Linked DNA regions of Lonchura striata. The protein of the gene in region 1 purifies or fractionates together with the protein of each later gene. This does not show direct contact. Links are inferred from orthologs where the notes say so. Each region holds a gene or a part of one and is shown in the gene's direction. Other genes may lie near its edges. The genes, in order: ANAPC13, CDC27, ANAPC2 and ANAPC7.

Region 1 (7,505 bases):
AACCAAAAAATAGTATGAAACAAAGGTACCTCCTTTTGTTTTTCCTGCAGAGCTGCCTTGGCAGAGGAAAGTTCCTGCTCCCGAGCACTCAGACAAGCTTCCAAAGCCTGTGTCTGCCCTTCCCATTCAGATTTCTTGTGAGCCACCATGATGTCTATCTGCTTCATCAGCTCCTGCAGCTCGGCCGCACAGGAGGTCAAGAACCCACCGCTGGAGGGGAGAGAGCCTGGAGTTAAATAAAGCAAGTGCCACCCACCACGTCCAGGGTCCCAAACCAATGAAGGCAGCAAACACACTGACTGGCACAAGGCACCAACCCTGCACACACAGTGAGTGCTTTGACCTCTCTTTAAATCAGCTTGCACACAATAGAATCACAGAATCATTAAGGTCAGAAAAGACCTCCAAGATCATCAAGTCCAACCTTTTACCCAATACCATCCATGCCCATGTGCTAAACCACATCACTTCACACTTAGGCATTCAGCCTTTTGCCTTGGGTACTGTGCATTATGTAAGTAAACCAAAGCGTGTTTAATTCATATTTTGTATTGCCTTAACTGCTCTCCAGGCAGTGGCATTTTATAGCAGGTTTCAGTCACCAGAGGAATCACAGCCAAGCTATGAGCTCCCAAAACCAGAAGTTTATCACAAATGCAGACAAACTCTGAAGCAGAGGGGCCTGGATGACAACATGATAATGAAGGATCAAACCCTTGCAATCCATCGGGGAGCACAAGCTCCCTAGCGATGCCCAGATTTCTAATTTGGTGCATAATTATTGAAGCCAATTCAAGTAACTCCTCTAAAAGTTCCCAGCTGCCAAGACAGGGACAATATTAAGGTTTGCCAGACACAGCCCTAGAGGGTGGTGAATTCCATAATGATCTCTACCCCTTTAATTTGCCTGTCAAAGGGAAGAACTGAAAAGAAATGGAAATCGATAGGTTAAGGGATAGAAATTTCTCTGTTCCCCCAGGGCCTATGCACACTTCATTACTTGGCACTTTTTCTATAGGAAAAGAAATACTTCTTAAAGGAGCCAAAATCAGTCACATTTGAAGTTCACCCTGTCCTATGAGTTAACCAAAAATTAGCAGCTATTATGCAGAGCAGGAACATTCCCTTCACAGCATCTGCTAATATGTAGCAAATTCTAAACTTGATTTCTGCAACCAGCTCTCTAAAGAAGATACAGTATCAAATAAATTTGTGTCACATTCTCAAGGATGACTAGGAAAATGGCATCAGTGACTTTTGTTTCACGGTTGTTTAACACATAAAGCATTTTGTTCTGTTATTGTCACTACAGTCTCTCTCAGGGATCAAAAAGTCTAGAGATTCTCACCTCAGACACAACATTAAGGATTCACTCAGAGCTGAGTGGGACTCTGCAGTTTCAACACAAGCAGGAAATAATCAGATGTTTTCAGTGAAATCAGATAACAAAGTCACATCTCATTAACCTTGCGAGGCTGTTACAAAATAAATATTTATTCACAACTCTATTTACTACTGCTCCTGATGTTGGACAGTAAGAATAGTTTACAACAACAACTGAGAAAAAGAGGCTGAGGTTTCAGGAAGATGTACAACTAAATTTCTGACAATTAAGACTATAAGCAGGGTTTAGCACAGAGCCAGCTCCCCCAGTGACTTCGCTTCTGCAGCAGCTGAGGGCCACTGCACACTTACACCAGAGGATTTATTCTGAATAAGAGGCAAGGTTAACACTTAAATCATTTGGAATGACTGCTGTGTACAGTTGCATACATACCTCCCCTGCCCATTTCTTTGCATTCCTTCCAGCAAAGCCTCCATCACTGAATCCTGGTGGCTTCAGTACTAGGGAAGTACAGGAAAGCAGTGGTCACCCATGGTAATGCACAAACCAGGCTGCTTCTCCATCCAACTGCAGGAAAAGTGGAAGCCCAAAAAGCACAGAAGTCAAAAAGCATACAAAGAATATGGAATTACAGGTGAGGAAAACAATGGCACCTTCATGAACTTACAAGCCAAACAGAGGAAAACAGATTTTTCTATCAGAAAAATATACCCAATGCTATCATCCAACACTACCAAATTGAAGTGATATAATCATGTGATCTAATAAATTCAGAGAGCAGCAATTAGACTCTGCACTTGTGTGAACTCAACAGAAGGACTGGTAGATCTACTGGGAGCACCAGCATGTGGAGAAACAGGAACATTTGGATTTCAAAGTTTGTCACTTCAGAGAGAAAACACCAGCAAGTAGCAGTAAGAATTCATCCATAAATTACATATTTTCCAGGCCTCTATTATAGACTAGCTTAAAGAGACCATGTAGTTTACCACAGCATTCAGAACACACTGGCTCTTCATACAGTTGTGGGAATTTTAAGAAAACATAAATTCCTTAAAATTTCCTCTTAAATTATGAAAATAAGTTGAACAGCTTTATAGTAGCAGTACATTGCTTCAGTTAAAAATTCACCTTTTAAGTAACAAACACATGCATACCCAAAGAAATTTCATATTGTGGTGAAAGTGAGAAGAGTTTACATTAAAGCCAAAAATGGGGAATAAAAATTTTCCACGCAACCAGAGCCAGGAAGCCAGAATTTATTTCAATATCTCCTTCATGAAACTGCAGCTAACATAAAAATGGTTAACTTGTCCAGAGCTATTAACACAAATTTCTGTTTCCAAAATCTACACATTTTCCAAGTACTGAAGATTAATTCTTCCACCATCTTTCCTCAAAGATTAATATAACATTATTAAGCAATCAGCAAAAGGGGAACAGGTCACAGCAAGGGAGACTTTGACAAATGCAGGCTCAGCTTCATTCTCTTTCCCAAAGAATCTTCTATCGTGCTCCTACAGCACTTAAAAACACAACTCAGAGATTAAAACCTGTCCTTGGGAGCAGTGTTTTAAACCACAGCCATATAAAAAATGCACAGAGAAAAATCCTATTCCTATTCTGACACTGTTTCATCTGTCTTTGGTGCTGTAACAAAACTCAATCAGTATGCAGAACAACTTTGTGGTTCTGCTGAGGGCAGGGTGCTGAGGAGAGCAGATGAGCAGATCCCCTGAGCTGCTGACAGCATTCCAAGAGCTCTCCAGGTGGCCACAGCAGACATTAGACAGTAGCAGCTCTCCTCTTTCATTCTAATCACACCTACACAGAATCAATTTTCAGTGGGCAGAGAGATGAGGAGACAGACAGCATAGAATTCCAGAACAGTTTGGGTTGGAAGGGATCTTAAAGCCATCTCATGCTAAACTGCTGCCATGGGCAGGGGCACCTTTCACTATCCCAGGTTGCTCCAAGCCCTGTCCAACCTGGCCTTGGACGCTCCCATGGGAGGCACAGCCACAGTTGGCATAGCCAGATTTTGGGGAAAAGCCTTAAAATCAGACACCTCTAGCCAGTTCTATGCTACGTACAGTTTGCTGACTTAGTATTACATTTTGGCCTCTCATGCTTGCAAGTTGCAACGTGCAAGTTACAGGAACCTGAGTAAAGACCCAGAAGAGGAAACAATCTCCTTCATTAACTACAGTTGAAGGAAGGAAAGCTGGCTGATCACCTCTGAAAGTGAAGAAATGTGAAGTATTTGAAAAAAAAAAAAAAAAAGTCCAAAACAAGACAACACATTTAAAAATAAAAAAGGTTTAGCATTCCAGCTCAAGGCAGAACTGTAGCAGAGTGAAGTGGAGAGAACTTTACAATACACAGGAGGACTTAAGAATAGTGCCCATGCGACAAGACTGGGATTACTTCGCACTTAGAAACACAGAAAGATGCAATCTTAAAGCGTTGCTGGAAGCATGCTTACAATGAACACAAAAGGAGCTCCCAAAAGCAATACCACGGGCGAGCTCCGCTTGCCAGCGGCAGGAACGGCACCTGCGGCAGGAGCCCGAAGTGAACCAGCCCTCGCCAGGGCGAGAATCTCAGAGTCACTGAGCTCGGAAAAGTCCTCTGAGACCATCAAGTCCAATCTTGTGACCGATCCCCACTCTGTCACCCAGCCCAGAGCACCGAGTGCCGCGTGCAGTCTTTTCCTTAAACACCTCCAGGGATGGGGACGCCGCCGCCGCCGCCCTGGGCAGCCCTTTCCAGTATCTAATCACCCGTTCTGTGAAGGAATTGCTCCTAATGTCCGGCCCTGGTGCCGCTTAGGTCCGTGCAGCGGCCGGGGCCAGCGGGCCCGGCCGGCACTCCCCGCTCCCGCCGCTGCTCCCAGCCGCAGCCGAGCCCTCACAGCGCCTGCCCCGCGCCCGCCGCGGCACAGCTCCGCTGCCCGAGCCCCTCCGGCGCCGCGCCCCGGGGAGCTCCGCTGCGGGCTGCCCGACACCCCGGCGCTGGCTGGCCGAGCCGCCCTCCTCCCTTCCTTCTTCCGTTCCTTCTTCCTCCCTCCCTCCTTCCCGCCTTTCCCACCCTGGCAGCGGGCACGGCCCGGCCCCGCCCCGGCAGCGCTGCGCATGCGCTGGGGCCGCGCCTGCGCAACAGCGGCCGCGGAGATGGGCAGGGTAGGGCGGGCTGGGGAGCGCGGGGACAGGGGGGCACAACCCTGGGATACAGCCCTGGGACACAACCCAACCCTGGGACACAGCCCTGGGACACCGCGGGGACACAACCCAACCCTGGGACACAACCCTGGGACACAGCCCTGGGACACAACCCAACCCTGGGACACAGCCCTGGGACACAACCCAACCCTGGGACACAGCCCTGGGACACCGCGGGGACACAACCCAACCCTGGGACACAACCCTGGGACACAGCCCTGGGACACCGCGGGGACACAACCCAACCCTGGGACACAGCCCTGGGACACAGCCCTGGGACACCGCGGAACACGGAGCCGTGCTGGCCGGGAGAGGCAGGGAGCGCAGCGCGCCGGGGCTGGGGTGCGCTCAGCCCCGTGCCCATCGCCGCCCACATCGCGGCTCCGGCAGCCGGCGAGTGCCAGGCCTGGCTCGGTTTTGAACGAGTGCCCGTTCTCTCACACCCGCCAGGGTCGGGCTGCCTGCTGCTGCCGCCCCGCAGCATCACACCGGGGCGAGGGCCTGAGGTGATCCTTCAAGGAGGGCAGAGTACAGTTAAACAGTCTGGAGTAATTATAGGAGATGCGGGTGAAAGATGGGTCTCGTTTTGCTTCTCTTTCACCGGTTTCCTGCACTTCAGGTTCGGGCAGAATTCTGGGTACCCTGAAGTCCTTTGTTGTGACTCTCCCAGACAGGTGAGGCACGTCACTGCTCAGGAGCTGTAAGCCAGCAGCCAGCAAAGGCTTCTGAGCAGCTCTAGGTGCTCAAACTCACTCAAATTAGACTTCTAAAAGTCAGTCAGTAGATATAAAATACATGTAAATATCAGTAATAACCATCTGGTTTTATATATTAATTTCCAGTGCATATCAGTCTGCAATTCACTTTGATAGAGTTCTTTTCAGATGAAGTTGTTCTATGTGGTTATAACCCTTTTTTGTGTGGATTAGGGAAATCAAGGTATCCTTGTAAGTTTAAATTTCATATGGATTTCATCAAAACTGGAGCAAGCCAATAGTCCAGACTCCAGCTCCTTGGCTGGGGATGTTGCTAAAACAGCATCTGCTTTGTGTCACAGATTTAGCTGCTCTCGCCGCTGTGACGATGGACAGCGAGGTGCAGAGGGATGGCAGGATCCTGGATCTGATCGATGATGCGTGGAGGGAAGATAAATTGCCCTACGAGGATGTGGCCATCCCTCTGGTAGGTGAATTGCTACTTATCAATCTGAGTTAAGGCTGCTGCGTTCATCACAGTCCCTTCCAAGAAAAGGCACAGAATGTTCCTCGTGGTGCGGCTAATTTGTACAAGAGGCTCCTGGATCTCCACGGAAGATCCAGTCTCTCACGGAAGGGACTCCTTCTGTGCCCTATATGCCAGTCATTCCTGAGTGCATGAGGACATGGATGCTTCTGTTGCTTGTCCCCTGACCAGTTGCTGAATCCTCTCAGAACTGGAGTTCCTTTCCCATTGCACTCTCCTAGGTTTGGCATCAGGGAGAAGTAGAATCATCCTTTTTCTCTGCTTCCCTTTCTTGTTCCTGGTGTTTGAGGTACTTTCCTGGTTGTTGGGAGAGCAGAGGATCAGTCTCACATACAGTTCCAGTCTTGGTTACACTTTATATCTGCTTCCTGCAATGCCATTAAAAGAAGCTGAGACATTTTCGTAAGTGTTTCAAAGCAGTCTTTTCCAGATTCAGTGTTGCTGTTGGAAGTTCCGGGACAGCAGTGAAGGACTGGCAGGTGCAGCAGGACTCTTGCCTGTGGTGATGTGTCCAAGGCATGGCACCTCTCTTTTCATCCAGGGTACAGCTGCAAAGTCAGAGAGGGGCAGCAGGGGAAAAGCTACTGCTGATCCCACAGAGCCCAGAGCTAAAGCTTCAGATCTCCCACACTGACACCTTTCCTTGGCTATTTTGAAACTTACAGGGAAGTTAGAGGTAGCTGAGGATTTTCCCTTTTTCTCTCTGGTACACGAGCTTTACCCCAGCTAGCTCACATAAAGCAGCCGTGGGGATTGTGGGGTTTCTTTCAGCAGAGAGACATCTCCAAATTTGTGGCATGGTTCAAGCGTCAGCCCTGCCACCACTGGCTTTTCAGAGAGGGCGAGGAGCAGCTGCACAACTCAAAGTCCATATGTACAGCACACATTTTCCTGCCAAGAGTTGGGCTTGAGGGAAGCATCTTGCAGAAGCGTGATTCTCAGCTAAAAGAGCACAAACCCTCCTTTGCCTTTATTAGGCAAGCCGAGTATCATAAACAGGTTCCTTGTTGACAATTGCCTTTACCCTGAGTCCAAACATTATTGTTTCTTCCCTTAGAGCCATCTCGTGATGGCTTACAGTCACATACAATGACAGCCTCAGAGAAGGAAGCCTCACCAACTACCAATAGAAAGGCCTGGCTGTGGATATAAAGATCCCCAGAGATGGGATTGGCTCTGATCACATAGAGAAAACAGCATGAATTCACAGGGGACTTACTCAGGGACATTGCAAAGGAGCACCAGAATGGCTGTGAAAGTGGTATTTGAGCCTGTCCTGAGAATCTGCTCCAGTGCTTAATCAAGCCATTTCTGGGAACTCAGATGTGTTCAAATCATTCATTGTTTTCAAAGCTGAAACACTTTATCTAGCTCCAGCTGGGATTTCCAGAGGAAATTCTAGAACTCTAAATTCTAGAACTCAGAATTCCTGCCCAAATGGTATCTGGCAGAATAGCACACACTCAGTGTGACTACACCAATACAGCAAGACAGAGAACAAATAATAGAAGGAAGTAAAATGAAATCTGTTAAACTTTCCTTCCCTTTACTGTGCTGTGAGCAGCTCTGGGGCACACCTGGCAGGGGGTTCTGGCTTCTGCTGTTGATCCAGCACAGCTACACCTGACTCCAGCATACAGACAGGAAGGACTTCTAACCTGCCATAAGAAAGTAACATTTTACAGAACCATTTGTCT
Region 2 (7,180 bases), on another chromosome or scaffold:
AGCAGCCACTGAAAATCAATATTTTTAAACATGCATCAGTGAATGCTAAGAAAATATTTAGTACTTAGAGAGGAAATTTCCGAAATGAGAAATATCAACATTCCCATTAATGTTACAAAGAATAAGGAAAATGTACCACAGATTTTCTTAAACTTTTTCACATTCCTAAAGATCTGCCTGAGGAAAACAGAGAAACATTGCCAAGGGGATCAGGTTAAGTTTCTTTGAGGTTGAATTATCCCTCTAAAATGTATTAAATTGAAAAGAAAATCCAAATTGCTGCCTGGCCCCAGCTTCCCCGCCAATTTCTTATTATTTCATTATCTATTTACTTTTCTAAACATTTCTCCTATCCCTCAGCTATGTAAAAGGCATGAGGCTGGGGGGGTGGGGCAGGGGGGGAAGTAAAAATGACCTCCAGATAGTGCTAAATACAGAAATTAAACATTTAAAAATCTCTTCCCTCACAAAATCTCTTTCAGCATCAGAAGGTTAAAATGCAGACAGACGGAAGTCTGAACTTTGAATGCTCAGCATCCTTTTTATCTCCTTTTTAATCCATTTCTTTCTGGTTCCTGTTCATCAGCTCAGCAACATAGATGGTTGGGTGGCAAAGTCTGACAGAAGATTTAATTCTTCATATAACTATTTGCATATAAAGCTCTTTTAAATGGTGTTGAATTACAGCTTTTGACATTTTGGGTTCATCTGAGAAAGAGTATTCTGAATGCTCTCATCCCAAAGATTCTTTGCATTCAGACCTCCCCACTTATCTCCCAGGCTCTCAGAAATGCTTGGACCCACCTGAGCACCATGAAGAGCAAGACTCCTCCATGCATGTCCTTTCCCTGGGATGTTTTGCCTAAAGCAAAACACACACCACGTGTGTGTACCTGAGCCTGGTACTCAGTGCATCTGCAACTAGGTTTTAAACCTCAAGTTACTCTTTTCAGGTTTTCTCTGTGACATTTGTCTCATTAAATTTTATTCCTTTCTCCCTTAAATGGTTTGTCTGCCTTGGCTTGGGGCTACTTGTTGATACGGTGGGTGGAGGAGACCCCTTGGTCTCCACCAGCTCTCAGAGGTAACAGGGTATTTCCACGGAGAGGGGGAAAAGGCAGGGAATGAAAAGGAAGAGTTCAGACTTGTAAGTGAGGATCATCAATGCACTGCTTGTCCCAGTCAGGAAAGACCCTTAAAACCCCCAAAACATCAGAAAAGCATGAAAAACATTCTTTGTTCTGTATCAATGAGACATCCAAAAGTCTAGTTTTGAAGGTTTTCAGCAAGTTGACTCCTGCTGAATCAGCAAGGGAGAAGAAAAATGGGGAAAGAAGAGATCCAGGCCCAGCCAAACTGGGCCAGGTCCACCCTCATGGCATGGGGTGAGGGCCCATGGGCTGTGGGTAATGTCCTGCCTGGGATGGGCTCCCTGGACAGTTCTTCTCCAGGCAGATGGTTCCAGCCAGGAGCTCTCAGGGGGCTGTGTGATACAAGCTGGTGGCTCTCTCCCTCTTCCTACCTGCAAAGCAATCTTCAGAGCATCACCACAAGCAGTGAATAATTCATGACACATAACTCAGCCTTCCCATCAGCAGAACACCTGGGAGCAGCAAACACTTTCCTTTGATTTGTTCCTTATTCCAATGTCCTCACTCTGTCTTTGACTAGAAATCGAAGGCATTTTGCTCTGACATGTTGACTTTGCTCGTTCCTGTGCAGTGGCTGAGTAACAGCTGCTTTCAATTCCCACTGTTTGATTCTACTGCTCATAAAAAGCAACACAAGCTGTTTATAGATGCAAGATTAGATTTGAGCAGCTCTTTGTGCTATTCCTACAGCTTCCATTGGGCAGGATCTGGGCACCTCATGTTTTTAATGCACTCTGTGCTTTAACCTCCTAGAGGACCGTGGTGATGGGGCCAGAAGGAAGCCTGCTTGCTGCACGCTCCAGGGTCACGTCTGTCCCTGTCACTGCTGTGGCACTGACTCCTGCAGCAGAACGTGCTGTGGTAGAGAGGAACTGAGCAGAGGAGAGGTGGAAATCCACAGCAGGGACTGGGGGCCCTGGAGCTGCGATATCCCTGCTATAGCAATGATATCCCTGCTGTAGCCACAATATTCAACCATATCCTACTAGCCTTGATATCCCTGCTAGGCGTGATATTCCCGCTACAGCTGTGATACCCCTGCCCTGCAAGCCAAGAGGCTGCACTCTCACTCCTCTGTGCAAACCTTGTGTTTGAGCCCCCAGCTTCCATGGTGAAAGCAGTAACACTGAATTAAAACCAAAGTGAGACCTGCAAAGAGACAGGAAGCAAGCAGTGGGAAATGACAGAACTACAGGAAAAGAGGGAAGAGCCAGCCACACTTTAGGGATCTGTTGTGTCTCTTTATAAAGCAGAGCTGGCTTAGCAAAGCAGGCTGGAATGATGCACTTGAACAGGCTCAGTGTGTACGTCTGTACCTCTGCTTGTGCCTCCATGCCTCTTCCCCTGGCAAGGCTGCTCCCCTCCTCTGGAAAAGCTGAGGATTCCACAGAGAAAGCAGCTTTAGTCCCATGGACATTTATAAAAGCATCTGTGGGTGCCAGCGAGTGACCCCACAGGCAGAACTGCACTGTAGGACTGAGGAGTCTCTGTAAATCCAAATCTCCAAAGACAACAGCAAATGCTGACCTTTTACAGTTTGGATGTTTTACATGAATTCCAGGGGACTCTGAGGAGAGGTACAAGGAGCCCCCACGCTCTGGAGAGCCTGTATCTCCTCAGGCTTGATAAGACAGCTTCTCATACCAAAGAAGGTCTGGATGTCAGTTCTGTGCCCTGGGGAATGGGAGAGACAGATGGAGCCAGCTTTCATCCCCAGGAGGAGTTATCTGTAGTGCATGAGATCAGGAGGAGGGTGAATATGGACTGTGCTCCTTGAAAAGCTCCTTCCTGGAGCCCCAGACCACGTCACACACCACCATCATCACCATCAGCAAGTGAGGCCAAAGGCCTTCAGAGGAGGAGACACTTCATGTTGCTGTCACCCTCCTTTTGTCTGGCAAAATGACTTGGATCGACCTGATTAGGAAACCAGGTGTCCATCCCAGGGGACAGCACTACCCTGCAGTTAAAATTTATTTGTCTCAGGTGAAGGATTGAAGAAAGCTTTGCCTGCTCACACCCTGAGCGCAAACACCCGCAGATCTGCTGCCAATACCAAATGTGTAAGTACACCTTCCAGAAGTGCAGGGGAAGAGGGCAGGCTGACCCCTCCTGCTCCACACACAGCTTTTGTTCTCAAATAAAGATACAGCCCCTGCCCACGCGTGTTCGGCAGCACATCAGGATCTGACCAAAGCCCTGAGCAGAGTCTGAGTTAGGTGTGTGTGCATCGGGGTTACGGCAAGCCCACAGCAGGATTTGGACAAGGAAGGCCTCTGCTAGCTGCAGGCAGCTATTGATAGGTCAGTATATTTAATAAATTGGGGTTTACTTGTACATCTTTATTCCATTATTTTGCTAAAGCTTTGTGTGTCAGATACTGTAACGGGCAAATTACCTGCTTTGTGGTCTGCCAGTTTTACTCCTGGATATGAGGACATCGGGAGGAATTTCTTCACAGAATGTTGTTAAACACTGGAAGGGGCTGCCCAGGGAGATGTCCAAGGAACGACGGGAGGGGCACTCAGTGCTCTGGCCTATGGCCAAGGCGGCTCGATGGTTTGGGAGGTGTTTCTCAACATGACCCTGCGATTTCTGATACCGCGGCTGGACGCACCGCGGAGCCCCTCAGCACGGAGCCCTCGGGGACAGAGCCGGGCCGCGCTGGACCCGACACGGGGAGCGGGGACACGGGAGCCGCTGGCCAAACCACGCGCACCCCGGGAGACGCAGGGGTTCGCGACAGAGCTGGGCATCCCCCGAGCCCACCCTGCGGCACCAAGTGCAAGTTCTGCGGGCCACGGGCGCTCCGGGGGACGCGCCACACGCTCGTCCCTCTCCGCTCGGCTCGGCCATCTCCGGCTCGGCTCGGCCATCTCCGCCCCACTTCGGCCATCTCCGCCCCACTTCGGCCATCTCCGGCTCGAGCAGTTTCCTCCCGGCTGCCGAGCGCGCCTTTCCCAGCTGTTTTCCGTCGACGCTCGGCTCTTTCCGCCTCCGCCTTCGGGTATTTCCGGCGGGCGGTTCGGCTATTTCCGCCGCCGGTTCGGGCGGACTCGGCGCCCGCCGGCCTCGCTCGCTCCGGTAACGGTCGGTGCGGGTTCAAATGAGCCGCGGTCGGGCCGGGCCCCGCCGTGACTCGCTCTGAGCCGGGCCGGCACCGGGGCCGCCCCGCTCGGGCTCGGCGACCAGGAGGCGGAGGCCGGGGAGAGCAGGATGACGGTGCTGCAGGAACCCGTCCAGGTACCGACCCCCGGGCGGCTCAGGCCCCAAAGCCTGGCCCGGCCCGGGTTAGGCCGCTCCGGGGCCGGGGCTCCGGGCCGCTCCCGGAGGCCCCTCGGCCGGTGGGCCCGCTGGAGCTGCAGCTCCTCCGCCCTCCTCCTGCCGGAGCCCGCCGAGCTTCCCCTTCCAGCCTCCCTGCCGTCCCCGGGCCGGCCGCGCTCGCCCCTTTGCCCCCGGGGCCCCGGGGGGAGGTGCCGGGGTCCCCGCCGCTCCTCCGCCGACCCGGCTCCGGGAAAGGGCCCCGCCGATCCCCCGGGAGACCTGTTGATACTTCGCTCACCTTTCTGCGTGTGCTGCCGTGTCGTGTTTAAATGCTCGCAGCGTGCTCGGATCCCTCTGTGTCGTGCGAGTGAAGGACGTTCCTTCTGCCCAAGGAGTTGGATTTTTCGGATTAATGGGAGATCTAGGAGAGAAAATAATGCAAATTTCATTTTTCTCTCGTGTTTCAGTCTCACTGCAGTTACTGTGATGGGTTTCCTGTTCTTGAGCTCAGCCTTCCCATCCAAAAGTCGTGATTCACGGAATTAAAAGCTGCTTTTTCTTTCTGCAGTTCCTGTATGCCCATTCTCTAACTATTAATAATCTTCATTAATCAGTCATCTCATTCACATTCCCATTCTTTTTAAGTCTATTTTTAGCATTTTAGCAGGATGTTTTGGGCTTTTTTTCTAGTTCCTGGCAGCAGTGTCTTGTTGGAGTATGACTGTGTTCTGTGATGAACATAGTGAGAATTCTTGCTTTTGGCTCTTTTCTTTCTAATGAAAAGGTGGAAGGGGAGGAAAGGCTCCTGTGGCAAACCATCCTGCTGACTTGGCCCTGTCTGTGGCGGATGGTGACAATGAGGGCATTCTTGTAGACCAGGGGTTTGTGTCCTTGATGCCACCGCTCTCCTCATCCCCTCTGAGAGCAAGGGTCGTGCAGTGCTGGAAATGCTTTTGGCCACCTGGTCCCTCTCCTGCCGAGGCCATCCTACATCACTGGTGTCAGCTGTCGAGCTGGGCTGGTGGTTTTGCACCAGCTGGGCATTCTAGGAAAACATGGGATTAGAACAGAAAAGGAAGCAAGATCACACTGCAGCGTGAACGAGTGAAGCTGACAGGAAACAATACCAAATGTTTCCAGTGCTGTGCTAACTAGACTGACCAAGTGAAAATGTCCGCTCTCCTGAGTGCTCCCTGATAGAAATGTGGGGCCTTGTGGTAATTCAGCAAGGTGAAGACCGCTCTAATGCTCTGTTCTGCATCATTATGCATCCAAAACGTTCTCCATTCTTAACCTCTTCCCAGCTTGGATGTTTTGATGAGGCTTTGCTATGTTAATATATCTATTTAGATTCTGCTTTTAAATGACAGATCATTCCTTTAGCAGTAGTTCTGCTGCTGTCAGTTTTACTGCTGTTCCTTGCTTACAGGAGTTACTGGTAAGTTTAGGAATTATTTGTGACTGTGTGAAGTCCGTTGCATTTCTGAATTCCCAGTTTAGCTGAAGTCCACATACGTAGCTCTGTTTTTGTAATATTCTTAAATGAAGTGATTGGGAAAGTTGACACTAGTTCTGATTTTTGTCATTGCAGAGATTGTTCCTGTCTATTTGTCTGTTCTCTCCCAGCCTTTCAGATGTCTACAGGGCTCAGCATTCCAGGAAAGAACTGTCATCCTCACATCCTCACAGCTGTGATGTTACTTATTTGTCACAGCGTGACAGATAAATAACAGAATTTGTGTTTGTATGTAGCCTTAGAAATGTTGTGCTTCAATTACATGAAATTCATGCACCAGGAGGCATTCTGGCCACTGGTTAGGTTTTTGCTAACTTTTAAAATTCTTTTCAGTTGAAGAGAGTGCCAGAGTTTACAGCCCTGTGCTGTACTTCCGGATACGGTCAATTTAAAACCCTTCAGCTCCAACATAAATCCATGTGTCCCATGTGCTAAGAAACAGGCTGGATGCCTTCCAAATACTTCTGAAAAACATCTTGGAAAGAAAATGAGCACTTTGCTTGGAATTGAGCTGTTCAAGGTGATCATCTGCTGTGACTCACTGGAATGGTGCTTGAACTTGGCTGCAAACTGCAGGACCAACATGTTCAGTGGGCAGAGTTTGTGTAACTGGGGAATGCAGCACAGCCCATCCTGGAGCTTTCCTCCTCCCTGCCCACCCCGAAGACTGAAATCGTGGCAGAATCTGCTTAGCGTGGCAATATAGGCTAAACAGCTTGGAAAACAATTTCCAAGGTTGTATAACTGTCAGACGAGAACATCTCTTAAGAGCTATTTGGCTTAGATATGAAGTGACACTTGGACAATGCACAGGATTTTCTGGGTAGAAGATGGACCTTTCTGAATCTGATTTTATTTTCCTGCCCCCCTTTCTGAAGTTGCCTTGCTGCAGGGCTGTGTATGGTAGTTTTGGAATTCCCTGTTAATTTTGCATTTCAAATTAATTATTTTTTAAAAGAGTGATTAAGACCTGGAGGTTCATCCTCTCTGCAAGCACACTTGAATAAAATGTGGAAACACTTCCAACTTTTCTCATTCATATGAGGCAGCCCTGAGAACACTGTTCTGTGTGGTTTAGCAGTTGTGTACCACTAGTGCTGTGTATATGCATTGTGCTTCTTCTAGAATAAAATAAATTACTGTGCTATATTGAGATTAATGTTCCTGTCCTAGACGGTGGGCAAGAAATCCTCTTTTTTGAGACACAGTCATGGTTTAGGTATCTGTTCTCATGAACAATTATTGCTGC
Region 3 (7,575 bases), on another chromosome or scaffold:
CAATGAATGCCTTTAGCTTTAGATGTTATTTCTGCACCAATCAGTGAGAAGTGTCCAGACTGTCTCAAGCCTCTTGAAGATTCCCAAACATTGGCCATAGCTTTCGTCTGTCCTTCCCAACTCTGGCATCCAGTCTCTGGGAGTTGCTGGTTGTGCTCCAGTTTGCCAGTTCCTCTTGTTGCTTTGTTCCAAATCTGATTGATCTCTCTTGGTTACATCCTTCAAGCCACACTTGCTCTGCTCCTCTAGTCAAAGCACAGGAGGGACGTTTCACTCCTTCTGCAGAACTTGAACAAGGAATGTGGGTTATTTTTGTTTTTTCTAGGATTTTTATAGTTCTATTGTAATTGTTTAATGCAGCCAATATGCAAAGGAATCTGCTAGAATCTTCCATTCAAGTTTTCTACTACTGTAAACTCAGGGTCAAAATTGCACTCTGGAACAGATGGAGCAGTGCTGCTAATGTGATTTGTACTCTGGGATTAAAAGAGATGTGGTGAGAACAGATCTGGCCTCTTTGGGCTTTATGGAATGAGTGGGGCGTCATCCAAACGAACAGGCTGGTATCTTTGATTAAATTTGATGGTTACTGGTTTGTCTATTTTGGATGATGAATGTCTGCTCAAGTGACATTGCTCTGTGGACTGAAAATGATCTGCATACCTTGCACTTGGTTTGGTGTCTTGTTGTAGCAGCAAGGGAAGGTTGTTCTACTGAAAACCACAGGATTAAATGTTAGGACATACCTATTTGTAGCCGTTCCCTTCTGCCCTGGGTGCCTAAATACTTTTGGAAAGATAAGGAGAAAAAAAAAAAAAAAAAAAAAAAAAAAGAGCTACTCAGTAGTTTTAGATGTTGGCTGGGGGGCCACAAAGAAGCGTTTTGCACCTCCTTGTCCATTCCAAGCTAATCTGAGATCATCTGCTGGTGTGACTTGCCGGGAGCAAGATGTGTCTGCAGTGCATCTGCCTGGGACTTGACACAAGGACCATGGAGTTCCATGTGTTGAGGCTTCTCCTGTTAATAAAATCAGGGCAAGGTGCTGAGACTGGTGTAGAATGAGGGAAAATGTGAGACTGCTGCTGACAGCTAGATTTAAGGGGTGAGTTTTCAGCACAGCTTTTCTAGCAAAAATGGTCCTAGTGAGCATCTTCCCCTGTTGAAAAGCCCAGCTCACTTTAAGGCAGCTCTATTTCTTGCAAAACTGCAGGTGGTAAAGCAAAGCTGCTTTCAACTCAAGTTAGGGACAAGGAATCTGAACTAGCCCTGGCTTAGTTCTCCTATGGATCCATGAGGAATGCTAAAGAATGCTAAAGCCAACACTGTCCTGCAGCTCAAACACTGCTCTGGTTCTCTGTGAGTTAATGCTGTGCCTGCAGCCCTGTGGGCAGGGCAGCTCTCGGGGGTGTGGGAGTGCAGAGCGTGCTGCTGACTCTCTGCTCCTTCTCCTGGTGATCCTGCTCCACCTTGGAGCTAATTCAGCACTCTGCACTTCCCAGCCTCCTGCTCTAATCCCTGCCCAGGTACTCCAGGGCAAAGCAGAGTGAGGGCAGTCCTGAGGGCAGGAGCATCAGCTGATGGGTCACCGCCTGGGATGTGCCTCAGGATCGCTGTGCTCCAAATGAAGCACAGGTATTTGTGTGTAAATGCCTACCCTGACATGTAGTGTTGGAGGATCTGCTTTACTGGGTCTCTGACTAATACCAAAGCACATCTGAAAGGAAAATTTGCTTCTGCAAAGCACAGGCTTTTATTAAATGTGGCATCCTTGCACCACAAAGCAGCTCTCTCTGGCCAACAGGACATTCCAGGCTGAAGAAGAAGTTTAGGAACGCTTTTGTCGACGTATTTGTTGTCCTAATGAAGTGTTTTGTGGATCAATGGCTTTACCAAGATCCCCCATTTCCTTCTTCATGACATCTAGCAATGTCTGAGAATTGTCCAGTATCTGGGAAAGAAATAAAAATAGCTTATTTTTACATAAACTGTTTCTCTTATGAATTCCCTTCCAATTCAGCTGATCTGCCTTGCAGCAAGAGGGGCTATCCAGTCTTTCAGCCTCTAATTCCTGGTGATTTGTTATTCTGTCTCAGTGTGGAAATATTTGTGCGAGAATTTCTCTGGTTTGTGTTCATATTCTGAATATGAAAGGCCTTAAGCAATTTATCTGCTTTGGAGCACAAGGCAGAGAACTTCCTGAAGCGGACTGGGGGGTTTTTGTTTGGTTTGGCATTTTTTGGTTGGTTGGGTGGATTTTTTTAAGGGAGATTTGGTATCTGGGCTTTTTAGACCAGTATTAAATTGTGCTCAGGTGACCCAGTTTCAACTCTTTTCCACTATTAAAACTGCACATTTTGGGTTTCCAACTTTAAGACTAACTGAAATCTACAGTGACCTTATGTCAGACTAGATCTGTTATTCATTTTCTCCTATTTTTAGCACACAGTGTACATAATGTAACATCCCTACTTCCTATGCTCTAGACTACAGCATATTTAGGAGATCTTGCTGCCTGTCCACCTCACCAGTTAAAAATTTTAACACAGTGGACAATTGTAACCAAATGTGATGGTTACAGTCCCAAAAATAATTTATATTCCTGTGAGATTGTGGAATTCACCAAGGGATCTGAGAGGAGCTGAGGGAGTGCCCCACAGGATGAGGTCCTGGAAGAAGGTGAAATCCTGTGGGGGCTGGCAGAAGGCAAGGAGTGACAAACCAGGAGAGGAACTGTGTTAATTTCTGTGTGTACAACACCAGCATCTCCTCCTCACCACCTCTTTCTACCTCCTGTGAGTGTCAGTTCATTTCAATAAACAGGAATTCATCTGTAGGCTGGGGGTGTGACTTGGATCTCAGGTAAGGTTTCTTTTTAAAGGGGCTGTTTGTGTACTTACAACATAGTTTTTAAGCTTTTAAATTTTTATGAGAGTTTCCCCTTTCACTTCAAACCATCAGGTCTTGAAGGACTTGAGGAATTGCCAGGGGAAAGCACCGACTTCGGGAGAGGAAAAGGAGCTGACAGTAGTTGGTCACATTCAAAATGCAAATGGAAGGAGAATCTAGGCAGCAGCTAATAAAGGAAATAGTGTTTCTGACACCAACTCTGCCTGGTCACCAAGAGAAGGAAGATGGTAACTTATCTGAAAAGAGGCCGGGAAAATCCTTTTTTAAAGAAATAAAAGCTGTTGGTGTGTAATACAGAAGTGGCTTCAGCTGTGGCCCTGTCTGTGGGGATCAAGTGCTGCCTGACAGTAACACACACAGGGAAGGGGAATGAGTAGAGCTGTCTCAGGAACAAAAATGACAGTGCCAGCCCTCGTGCTGTTTGCCTCCTTCCCACCCTTTACTACCCCAACAATTTGACTCTTTTAATGACATTGTTCCATTAAAAATGAAAGAAACTATACTAAATATTGGGCTGGAAGAGTGGCAAGCCAACAACTCCATCAGCACCGTTGTTCTCTGAATAGTAGGATTGTGGGTCAGTGTAATTTCACTGGTTTCCTCCTTTCCCCCAAACCATGGGTCTGAGATGGTAATTTTTAGGGGTCTGTTCCAAAAGAGATTTTTGATGTATTTGGACAATAAACTTTGCCCAAGCCCAAGCAGCACTAAAACACAACCCAACCCTCTTGTGATGGGATCTGTATGCTGGAGCTGCATCCCAGGCCTGGGAAGTTGTTTTGGCTGCAGTGCTACGACCCAGGGAGGAGTGGTGGTTCATCGAGGTGCTCCCAACCGACCTTCAGGTAAATACAGCAGGAGTTCACACTTACGTACATACATACAGATGTGTATATGCCAAACCTCCCAGACACACCCTTAGGGAAAGGTTCTTCCCCCAGAGGTGCTGGCACTGCCCAGGCTGCCCAGGGAATGGGCACGGCCCCAAGGCTGCCAGAGCTCCAGGAGCCTTTAGCCAGGGATGCCCAGGGTGGGATTTTGGGGGTCTGGGAAGGGACAGGGGTGGGCTGGGTGATCCTTGTCCACCTCAGGTTATTCTGACTCAGTGATTCCCTCGGGTCCTGTCCCTGGTCACCGACAGCAGAGATCGCTGCCGTCCCTCCTCCTCCTCTCCCGAGGCAGCTGCTCGGGGCGATGTCCCCCCCGTTCCTGCAGCCTCAAGAACGCGCCGAGCGCCCTCGGCGCTGCTCGCTGTCAGTACCTCCCCGGAGGCTATGTCCATCTCGGCGATGGTGCGGTCGATGTGGGCTCGTGTGGACCGCAGCCCCGCCAGGCTCTCGCTGGTGTCGGACAAGCGCCGGGTGAGCGTCGCGATCCGCGCCTGCAGCCGGCCCCGCTCCACCTCCTCGGCCCGGATCCGCCCGCTCAGCTCGTCCCGCCGGGCGCGCAGCTCCGACAGCCCTGCGGGGCGGCACGGTCAGCCGGGCCCGCCACCCCGGCCGGCCCCGGCCCCGGCCCCGGCCCCGGCCCCGGCCCCGGCCCCGGCCCCGGCCCCGGCCCCGGCCCCGGCCCCGGCCCCGGCCCCGGCCCCGGCCCCGGCCCGCTCACCCTCCCGCAGCGCCGCGTGGTGCCCCCGCAGCGCGGCCCCGGCGCCGCTCATCGTGGCGGCCGGCGCCGCTCCGCCCCTTCCTGCGGCCCGAATGGAGCTCTCGGCCGCCTGGCACACGCTCAGCACGGCGCTGGTGCCGCCCGCCGCGCTGGGGCTGGTGAGCGGGGACCGCGCGGGGGTCGCGGCGCTCCGCCGGGCCCGGGCAGCCCCGAGCCGCCGAGCCCGGGATGCTCCGGCCTCGGCTCCTCCCCGGCCGGGCCTCTGCGGCTCTGCGTCCGCGGGGCGGCTGGGAGCGGCCGGGGCTGAGGGGAAACGGCCGGCGCTGAGGGAGGAACGGTCGGAGCTGCTGGGGGGAAACGGCCGGGGCTGAGGGAGGAGGAACGGCCGGGGCTGAGGGAGGAACGGTCGGAGCTGCTGGGGGGAACGGCCGGGGCTGAGGGAGGAACGGCCGGGGCTGAGGGAGGAACGGCCGGAGCTGAGGGACGAACGGCCGGGGCAGGGAGGGGAACGGGCTCCTGGGTGTGGGGGTGGTGTCTGCTGGGGGCTGCCAGCGAAGGGCCCCGGCCCCATCTCTCTCCCTGTCACCCCAAACAGGAGCGGGACCAAAAGGCCACAGCTTGCCCGGCCCTGCTGTGGCTCTGCTCCCGCTCCATCGGAGGGAGCTGGCGGCCAAGGAAGGGTTTTGCTCCAGAGCCCCCAGCATTTTGGGCAGCCAAGGGTGGCTCGCAGCATTTCCACCAGCACCTGTGTCCTGCAGCAGCTACCCGCAGGGACAGCAATGATGTGTGCGGGTGTGAGCACTGGGAGGGGATGCTGGCATCCAGCGGTGCTGAGACCCCGGCAGATCACCACAGAGGAGCAGCATCCCCCCAGTGCAGTTTGACAGCAGAGTCCCTGTGTGCTCCATCAAATGCTTAGTTCATTTTCCCTCCATTTTCCAGGCAACCCCAAGACCTGAAGCTGCAGGGCCGCTGCAGGATGCCGAGCTCCGGGCAGCCCTGGACGTGCTGCAGTGCTATGACTTGCACTCCATCGTGGAGGAGTGGTTCATCGAGGTGCTGCAGACTGACCTGCAGGCGAATATCGGCCCCGAGTTCTGGAATTGCATTGGCCAGTATGAGAACACGGCCGAGGAACCCCAGTGCGCTGCGCTGCTCCTGGACGCCTTCAGTCTGCTCAAGTGCCACCTGGAGCCCTACCTGAACAGCCTGGAGCTCCTGGAGCAGTGGACCAAGGCAGGCCTGCTCCTGGGCACAGGCGCTCAGACGCTGCAGGAGAAGGTCTACACCATGTTCAAAGCTATCCTCTTCTTCTCCACAACCAAATCCTTCCAGGACATGATCCAGCAATTCTACAGCCGCACATTCAGGATATACATGCAGCAGTGGAAGAAAGGAGAAGATGGAATGAATGAGTGTGAGAGCAGCATGAGTGAGACCGAGCAGGAGAGTGACCCAGAGGAGGGCGGAGAGGGCCAGCTCTGTGCAGGCTGCAGCAGCAAGAGGGAGCAGTGCTGGTGCCCTGAAGCCATGGAGAAGTTCCAGCAGCTCAATGACATTCTGTAGGTATCTCATGGGGTGGTGGCTGTCACTCGGAGCAAGGGGTGTTTGGATGGGGAGCAGTAGCAGGTTTTATTGGTCCCTGAGAACAGGAGGAGCTGTGTGAGGTCAGGCTGTCTCGTGGTGGCAGGTAGAGAACTCGACATGGACTTTCTGCTTTCAACTGGTGGTTGAAGAGCAGATCTTTAGACAGAAAATTCCTCTCCCTGGATATGAGAATATCCTCCTCTTGCTCTGAGGCCTCTGACCACAAAGAAGCAAACCAGTGGAAGGTATCCCTGCCCATGTCAGGGGTTTGGACTAGGTAATCTTTAAGATCTCTTCCACCCCAAACCATTCTCTGATTCTATGAAACTCTTCTAAATGAAAAAGCTTTTGATGGCTTTATATAATGTCTGTAAAGAAGATGGGATAGCAGTAGTGCCATGTGTTACTTGTTTGCTCCAGAGCCCAGCATTTTGGGCATATGTGTGTTACATATGTAGTGCATCTGTGTGGGCTGTCAGAGCATGTGGCCCAAGCTGGGCCTGCCTCTGTGGAATGTACAGGGAGGGTGGTGCCTTCAGGTATAAGATTTTCTTGATTTGCTGTTGCCTTTGCTCCTACACGCTCCTGACGGTGTCCCTGTGCCCACAGCCGCCGGCTGAATTTGCTGGAGAGGGTGAGTGCTGATGCTGTCACCACCATCCTGCACAGGATGATCGAGGAGAGGATGGAGCAGCGCTGCCGCGGGGAGTACGAGCACTCCTTCCTCAACGAGTTCCAGGAGGTAAGGCAGGTGTGGGGGCAGTGAGAGTCCTCCTTGGGAGATCACAGAATTCACAGAATCACTGGCTTGGAAGAGACCTTCAAGATCATCGAGTCCAACCCAGCCCCAACACCTCAACTAAACCCTGGCACCCAGTGCCACATTCAGGCTTGTTTTAAATGCACCCAGGGATGGTGACTCCACCACCTCCCCAGGCAGCATTCCAGAACTTTATCACCCTTTCTGTGAAAAACTTTCTAATATCCAACCTAAATTTCCCTTGGCACAGCTTGAGACTCTGTGCTCTGGTTCTGTCAGTGCTGCCTGGAGAAAGAGACCAACCCCCACCTGGCTACAGCCACCGTTCAGGAAGTTGTAGAGAGTGATAAGGATGTGCAGGTGTTGTTGCTCAGGCTAAAACCACATTCCAACTTAAAACACCTGATCCAGGGCTATGACTTCACCATGCCTAGCAGAAGAGGTGGCTAAAACTTTTCATTTTGGCTGATGTTGGAGTGGAAGGTTTGTTCTGACCTGTGCATGAAGGACTATGACATTTCACCTCATGATCTCTGCAATAATGAAGGAATTTTTGTGGTTCCAGTTTACAAACCACAAGATCAACAAGTGTCACCTGGCCTGCAGAGGGTCTTCCCTCTGTGTAAGTGAGGCCAAAATTAGAATTTCTGTGGCTGTTTTCAGTCCTCTTTCATATTCCCTTGTAAAATTAGAAGCAAGGATGAGAGAGGATA
Region 4 (7,403 bases), on another chromosome or scaffold:
GCTTAAATATTACAGTCTGAACTCATGGTGTTTCAGAAGTTTTCTGTTACGTGGTGCTGACTTCTGCTTTTTGTAAATACCATGGTTTTGTTCTTGCAGTAATCCTTATTTATATATTTCAATGAGTAAAAGTTATGACAAATGTAGTGTAACAGAGCACTCCTTAACTCTATCTCTTCTTTATAGCTAAGGACACAGATATTATAGATGAAGCCATCTACTACTTCAAAGCTAATGTTTTCTTCAAAAATTATGAAATTAAGGTAATTTTTTGAGATACTGAGTATATTCTAGTTCTTTGGAGGGTTGGTTCTGTGAATATAAATTTATTTTCAAGGAAGTAATTTTAAGAAGATCACAAAAACTCCCCTTCCACTTAATCTTTAAAGTTGGGTAAATGTCATGAATTGCAAATCTCTCTCTCATGGGGAAACTATAGCCCAAAATGGCTTGAATTAATTCCTGTTTCAGACTTTATCAGTTCCACAAAGTGCTGTCATCTAAGAGTTCCTGCTCTTGTTTTGCAGAATGAAGCTGACAGAACACTGATCTATGTGACCCTCTACATTTCTGAGTGCCTGAAAAAGCTGCAAAAGGTAAGAAAACTGAATTCCTGTGCAGGTGGGAAACAGTCTGTTCTGAGAATTGTTCTAAGGAAAGGATTTCCTGATATTCTCCTTCCAGGGGAACAGATAATCCTGTTCACCCCAGTCCCAGTTGTCAGAGCCTCCAATACCTCAAGGCTGTGGATGTGCTGTGTTGCTCTTGATGAGTATTCATATTCCAGATTTGTAAAATATTTGGGTCTAATGCTGTGTCAGTTTTTGTTCATAACTGCTAACCCATTGTTTGCCTGGTTCTTCCAGTGCAACTCCAAAGGCCAGGGAGAGAAGGAAATGTACACACTAGGAATCACTAACTTCCCAATCCCAGGGGAGCCTGGCTTTCCACTGAACGCCATTTATGCCAAACCTGCCAACAAGCAGGAGGAAGGTAAGGCTGACCCAGGGCCTCTGAGGGTCACACTTGATTAACTGCACTTTTATGACTGCAGTTAGTTACTTTAAACCTAAATCTTCTAAATCTGCAGTCTGTCTTCTGAAGGCAGCACAAGCTGGATTTTCTGACCTTGAGGATTCCCCTGGTTCTATAGATAAATCGAGCTAATCAACTCAGCCAGCTGGGAGTGCCTGCAGATGTGAAACTCCCTCTCTGCTTTAAGCAGCGATGTCTGATGTGTCCCTGTTAAATCCAGTTTGGGTTGGTGCTGCCCAGTTTAGCTTGGTTTTGCTGTGCTGCTTTCAGAGGTGATGAGGGCCTACCTGCAGCAGCTGAGGCAAGAAACCGGCCTTCGCCTTTGTGACAAAGTGTTTGATCCTCAGAGCGACAAGCCAAGCAAGGTGAGACCTCAGTGGCATCAGCACGGAGTTAGTGAGAGCTTGGGGGAGTTTGTTCAGCTACGTGAGAAGTGAGACAAGGGGGTGAGAAACTTCAGCCAAGCCTGTCTGATTCTGCAGTGAAATGGCAGCTGCAAGTTATCAATAAGTTTAATCTAATGTGATATGACAGTGAATGCCACTTTGGGTTGCTTTCAAAAGCAGGGCAGTAATAAGAGGTGTCTGGTTCAGCTCTTCAAAGCACTGCACATCTGCTCGTGGCTGGGGTTGCAAATGGAGTTCACAAGCAGGAGAGGTGCTGTGTCTCTTCCCTGCAGCTCTGATGTGAGAGCTGCTTTGAAGTCGATTGTTTTGCCTCATGTCCAGATTGAAAAAATCGCTAATCAATGAATGAGTCACCTCCTGAGTGTTCACATGTTTCATGTGCAAATGTGACTGCATTTAGTGTCAAAATCACTTAGGCAAATTTACTTTCAAAGGCATAGCTTCCTGATGCATCCCTCATTTATGATAAAATACAATAAAAGTAAAATAAGACAAAGTAGAATTTCCCATAAGTCCTGTAATATGAACTCATTGTGTCCATTCCTGTTGTCTTGTTCACCTCAATTTAAGTAGAAACCAGTGTGTAAAACTATGTGTAAAATATTTGTTTTGTGTCAGAGATTGAATACTTCAGTCATTGGAAACCACTTCTGATTTTCTGACTCTGTACTTCCTTCTGCAGTGGTGGATCTGCTTTGTGAAGAGGCAGTTCATGAACAAGAGTCTCTCAGGCCCTGGGCAGTGAAGCAAAGTGGCAACAACTTTAAGCATTTCCACAGCAAGATGTTTTGTCTTTTGCCTTTGTTTTGGATACATAAAAAAAAAAAAAAAAAAAAAAAAGAAAAAACCAAACCTGTCAATGAGTGATAGAGGGAGAACAAAAAGATAAGTTGTGTAAGCAAATATTATTAAGCTGGTGCTTAATAAGTGATTTCTAACGTGCTGTTTCAGATGCAAGGTGCTTTGTAGTCGTGGCTACAGCATTTAAAACAGGGCTTGTATTTAAGAGAAGAAGTGGGCTTGGCTGTGGGGCAGGGGAGCTGTGTCATTGCTCTGCTGGCTGGAGTCTGGGTGTCGTGTGTCCAGGGAAAACAGACCTCTCACGCTGTGTTGTCCAGTGCAGTGATTTTTACCTTGTTTTCAATAAAATTTGCTTGTAATGAACGTGGTAACTACTGTGTGTCTTATGGACAGCCTTCAAAGAAATCAAAGAGGTTTTCTTCTCCTTGGTGAAAGGCTTTGGGGTGACCTAATTGTGGCCTTCCAGGACATGAAGGGAGCCAACACGAGCCTGGAGTGCCAGGACAAGGGAGAGTGGCTTTGAACTGGCAGAGAGCAGGATTAGATTGGATTCTGGAAAAAAAATCTTCCCTGTGAGGGTGGGGAGGCCCTGGCACAGGGTGCCCAGAGAAGCTGTGGCTGCCCCATCCCTGGAAGTGTTTAAGGACAGGTTGGATGGGGGTTGGAGCAACTTGGGATAGTGGAAGTTGTCCCTGCCCATGGGTGGAATGATTTTTAAGGTCTCTTCCAACCATCCTGTGATTCCATGATTACTGTGTAACATTAATCAGTAGGAAGTGAATCATTCTCACTGAAAACTGGGATAAGTGCCAGGCCTGCAGTTTGTAGCCATTTACCTGTTTGTTTAGCAGTCTGTCTCCTCAGAGCTGTGCTCCCAAAATGCCTTTACAGGGTAACACAGATCCCACACAGCTGGGTCTGTGGCTGCCTTCTGATGGTGCATTCAAACACTCACAAACTGGTAAAAAGTGGCTGTCCTGGGGATTTCTGGAAGAATACAAATCCACTTTTAGTTTATGTAGGTTTTGTCTCTCAATGGCAGGATGCGTGTCACAGTCACCACACAGCACTAACACACTTTTAGTGTTACCTGAAGCCCAGTGCTGATGTTTTGCTGCCTGCTGGATTTGTCTGCTGAGAGCTGCGTTCCTCTCCCAATAGCAGTGATGGCATGTGCAAACTGAAAGTTCTCACTGATTCCATTTTTAGGAATAGTGTAGCCCATGTTTTAAAATGTTTCTGTAACAAAGGTGGGAAAATAAAGTTTATTATTCATCTCTCAGTCTATCCTTGTAGTTAACAGAAGGCCTAGTGAGGCATTTCCCAGAAGAAATACAGGTTTTGAAAGGTTTTTCTCCAACAATCAGCATATTGGCAGAAGGACAAGGGTTGGACTCAGGAGCTGTGGAGGCACGGACAGTGTGTGTCTGGTGAAATGAACAGGGCTTATGCCTTTATTAATGTTCAGCTCTTTATTAAAAAGATCAGCTGGGCAGGGGGCTCGACACGGAGCTCACCCCCGTTGTTGTAGCTTTTTCCAGGTAGGCGAAGGGGGAGAAGGCGTGCAGAGTCTGTCCCTGAAGTCTCTGTGGCACACTGGTAGCTGAAGGGTGAAGAGGTGTGCAGTCTGTGGCTGAAGTCCTCATCAGCAGACTGTCCTTTCCTCCTGGTAACACCACAAAAATCTTGCCTCTTTATTCCTGCTTCCCACAGCCCACTCCAGTCCAGTCTTATGTAGGTGATAGTGACAGGTCAAACGTCGATCAGGGATGTGGTTCCCTCTTCCTCAGCCAGCGAACCGTACCTGCCCAGCCCCCTCTACTGTGTTTAGGTTTCCATCGAGGGTGTCCTTATCCCCGAAAACACGCTCCCATGGTTCCCAGGTTTCCGTCTTAGAACGGCAGCATGGGTGGGGTAGAGAAAACAAACAGAGCAATTACCTAACTTCCATTTCCATATGAGTACCTAGCTGGTGCCCCAGTATTGCCACGGGAAGCAGGAAGGCTCTTTCGCTCCTCACACCTGGCGGCAGAGCGGCTCCCCTCACGCCCGGCCCGCCGCCGCCAGGGCCCCTCGGCGCGGGCTGCCCTCCGCGCGCCTGCCGGGCCGCGCGGGCAGCGCCTCGGCCGCCTGCGGGCGGCGGCGCGCGAGGACCCCTGCGAGGCGCCATTTTGGAGCGGCGGCGGCGCCGGGGCCGGTTCCTCGCTCGGGCTCTCTCCCGGTTCCTCGCTCGGGGTCTCTCCCGGTTCCTCCCTCGCCCCGTCCTGTCCCCTCCGCCCCGCCGGCGGCAGCATGAGTGTGGTGGAGCACGTGCGCGAGATGGCGGCCGCCGGGCTGCACTCCAACGTGCGGCTGCTCAGCGGGCTGCTCCTCACCATGAGCGGCAATAACCCGTGAGTGCCCCGCCGGCAGCGGGCGTGAGGGGCGTGAGGGAGCGGGGCCGCTCCTGGGCGGGCCCTGTCCTGTCCCTGTCCCTGCCGGGGATGGAGCCCGCCTCTGTTCGGGTATCGGCATCACCGCCCCTTTGTGGTGCCCACTACAGCGTGGGTATCATGGCAGAGAATCACAGAATCAGCAAAGAAGGAACCTTGAAGATTGTTTTGTTTCAGCCCTCCTGCCTTAGGCATGGACATCTTTCATTATCCCAGGTTGCTCCAAGCCCTGTCCAGCCTGGCCTTGGACACTTCCAAGGGGTGCCACAGCGTCTCTGGACGACTTTTGCCAGGGCCTTCCCACTCTCACAAGGAATAATTTTTACTGATACCCAATCTAAAGCTGCCCTCTGTCAGTGTGAAGCCATTCCCCCTTGTCCTGGCACTCCAGGTCCTTATAAATTGTCTCTCCATGGTTTTTGTTGGCTCCCTTCAGGTCCTGGAAGGCCACAGTTGGGTCATTTGTTCTGCACACAGAACAATATTATATTAGGGGTTTTTATAATGTAGGAACAGGGACTAGGACCACAACTGCTGTACAGGCTGGGTTGCCTTTTAAACCTGAGTCCAAACAAAACACTGTTCTTTTAAACTTGAGTTCAAACAAAAGCCTGTTCTAAAATCTGAATGGGCAAAATGCTGGATCCTTACCTAATAAAAAGTGAATGAATCCTAGGAGAAAGTTGGTGCAGTGTAATGGATATTTACAGCCCCATGCTTGTTACAGAAAGGATGAGGGCTGTGCCCAAGCAGCCAAACATTGAGCTGCTGTTGCTGATGAGGTGTCAGGAGTGGCTGTTGGGTTTGTTTGTTTACAGATAAAAGAAATTGGTGAGATAAGCCCTGTGTGAGGAGTCAAAGCTGTTACTCAGTGGTCCTTCAGTGCAGTGGAGGAGCTGCAGCAGTTGCAATGGAAGCCACACAAACCAAAGCTACAAATACTTTGGATCTGTAAGGTTTGGATTCCTTTGCAGCCATCTGATCTCAGCCTCTCTGTGTGTATTTCTTGCAGGGAGCTGTTCTCTCCCTCTCAGAAGTACCAGCTCCTTGTCTACCACGCAGATTCCCTCTTCCATGACAAGGAGTACAGGAATGCTGTCAGCAAGTACACCATGGCCTTACAGCAGAAAAAAGCCTTAAGTAAAACCTCCAAAGTCAGGCCTTCTACTGGGAATGCTGCATCCACACCCCAAAGCCAGGTATTTAAGAATTGATAATAATTATTAATTGATAATGTGCTGCATCAAGCGATCACGTTCCCCCTGCCATTTCATGTTGCTGACTCAATTTTCACTGGAAGAGATCCTTGAGGCTGAATCCTCTGCCAAGTGCATCACTAACCACATCCCTGAGCATCACCTTTACATGTCTTTTAACCACCTTAGATTGTTCATTTATCAAATAAACCTGACATTTAAGGCTAATTAGTGGGATAATATCTGTGGTGCTTTCTAATGCAAAACTTAAAATGATCTCCAGCATTAAATTTTTCTGTATGTGTACTTTGTACTTTTAATTTGAATACAAGAATAATATGAACTAGTAGTGAGTTGCAGTGTTAACTTACATGCACCAGTTATTTTTCAACACAGTATAAATATTTATGAGGAAACCTTATGAAATTTTTCATACCTGATTGAACCAACATCATATTTAAATATTTTATTTTTTGTTTCAGTGTTTACCATCAGAAATTGAAGTGAAATACAAAATGGCTGAATGTTACACAATGCTGAAGCAAGATAAAGATGCCATTGCTATTCTTGATGGGATTCCTTCCAGGCAGAGAACTCCAAAGGTAAATCTGGCAGGTTTTTGTCACAGCCTCGTGGTCAGTGTATATAGGGTAGAACATATTATGTAGATTTAATGGCATTATGTCTTCTTCATTAGTTAAATATTGCTTGGTATCATTTCCTAATCTTAAATTAGCTGATATGGACCCTTTTCTTTAAAATAATAACAATTTTGTATTTTCTCTGCTAGAAGGAATTTAAAAAAAAAAAAAAAAAAAAAAAAGAAGGAAATAAATGTTTTGTGCATTTTATTAACTTCTTGTATAGTTGGGGCAATGCCAAATCCTTGAAAGGCTGGAGACTTTGGCAAGTAGAAAGTTTGCTAGTGCTCCATCTTTTAAAATCTTTTAATCCTGTTCAACAACAGTTTAGATAATGTTAAATATTTAGATCCCTTTGTGGTCTGCAGTGCCAAATCTGTGGAGTCTTTCCTCGCTGGCTCTGTTACTCAGAAGGGCTTAAAAGATTAACACATCAGATCAGTCAGCTGTGTTTCATGTTAAATTGTCCTAAAAGTGTACATGGCTTAAACTCCAGTTAATGTCTGAGTGTTCTGACCAACTTGCAAAACAGAAAAAGAAGAAAAGATTGAGAAAAGCAAACTTTTTACTTGTATAGACCAGCAAATGAAAATGCTGCAGCAGAAACCAGCTACTTGTGTTGTGAGGAGCTCAGATAATTTCTGTTCTTTGGTCAATCATGGCTCCTTTCAGGAGCTGAATGGAAACTTTCTCTGACTTGCTAAGCTAATTCAAACACTTGTATGGACACAGAGGGACTCCTGGAAGGGACTGATTAATGGATATACAGATCCTTCTTGGCACCGTGTACTTGCCCATCTTTTGACTTCTTTGATGCAAAACACACATTTTAAGGTGCACAGTGCACATACAAAAGATGTAGATTTTATTTCTGTACTCAGAAAGAAGCCA

The links.
Region 2: the proteins of ANAPC13 (region 1) and CDC27 purify together in Homo sapiens (affinity purification with mass spectrometry; 5 studies listed by BioGRID and IntAct, counting the BioPlex papers as one, with this or other methods). This does not show direct contact. The link is inferred for Lonchura striata from reciprocal best matches to the Homo sapiens genes ANAPC13 and CDC27.
Region 3: the proteins of ANAPC13 (region 1) and ANAPC2 purify together in Homo sapiens (affinity purification with mass spectrometry; 3 studies listed by BioGRID and IntAct, counting the BioPlex papers as one, with this or other methods). This does not show direct contact. The link is inferred for Lonchura striata from reciprocal best matches to the Homo sapiens genes ANAPC13 and ANAPC2.
Region 4: the proteins of ANAPC13 (region 1) and ANAPC7 purify together in Homo sapiens (affinity purification with mass spectrometry; 3 studies listed by BioGRID and IntAct, counting the BioPlex papers as one, with this or other methods). This does not show direct contact. The link is inferred for Lonchura striata from reciprocal best matches to the Homo sapiens genes ANAPC13 and ANAPC7.

Annotation. Positions count from the first base shown.
Region 1 is NC_134612.1:6,432,260-6,439,764, forward strand, and holds the start of ANAPC13 (anaphase-promoting complex subunit 13), read left to right. Parts: upstream 1-4,487; 5' UTR 4,488-4,527; intron 4,528-5,185; exon of another isoform or gene 5,186-5,240; intron 5,241-5,623; 5' UTR 5,624-5,649; coding exon 5,650-5,748; intron 5,749-7,505. Other genes in the region: CEP63 (centrosomal protein of 63 kDa), read right to left, coding at 30-210, 1,778-1,821. UniProt on the Homo sapiens protein: Component of the anaphase promoting complex/cyclosome (APC/C), a cell cycle-regulated E3 ubiquitin ligase that controls progression through mitosis and the G1 phase of the cell cycle.
Region 2 is NC_134627.1:8,879,623-8,886,802, reverse strand, and holds the start of CDC27 (cell division cycle protein 27 homolog), read left to right. Parts: upstream 1-4,168; 5' UTR 4,169-4,367; coding exon 4,368-4,394; intron 4,395-7,180. UniProt on the Homo sapiens protein: Component of the anaphase promoting complex/cyclosome (APC/C), a cell cycle-regulated E3 ubiquitin ligase that controls progression through mitosis and the G1 phase of the cell cycle.
Region 3 is NC_134624.1:4,365,096-4,372,670, reverse strand, and holds the start of ANAPC2 (anaphase-promoting complex subunit 2), read left to right. Parts: upstream 1-4,568; 5' UTR 4,569-4,607; coding exon 4,608-4,673; intron 4,674-5,457; coding exon 5,458-6,077; intron 6,078-6,711; coding exon 6,712-6,844; intron 6,845-7,575. Other genes in the region: uncharacterized protein LOC144247406, read right to left, coding at 1,826-1,948, 4,169-4,368, 4,516-4,567. UniProt on the Homo sapiens protein: Together with the RING-H2 protein ANAPC11, constitutes the catalytic component of the anaphase promoting complex/cyclosome (APC/C), a cell cycle-regulated E3 ubiquitin ligase that controls progression through mitosis and the G1 phase of the cell cycle.
Region 4 is NC_134620.1:12,732,428-12,739,830, reverse strand, and holds the start of ANAPC7 (anaphase-promoting complex subunit 7), read left to right. Parts: upstream 1-4,398; 5' UTR 4,399-4,535; coding exon 4,536-4,636; intron 4,637-5,687; coding exon 5,688-5,874; intron 5,875-6,353; coding exon 6,354-6,473; intron 6,474-7,403. Other genes in the region: ARPC3 (actin-related protein 2/3 complex subunit 3), read left to right, coding at 187-263, 528-596, 867-993, 1,306-1,400, 2,125-2,187. UniProt on the Homo sapiens protein: Component of the anaphase promoting complex/cyclosome (APC/C), a cell cycle-regulated E3 ubiquitin ligase that controls progression through mitosis and the G1 phase of the cell cycle.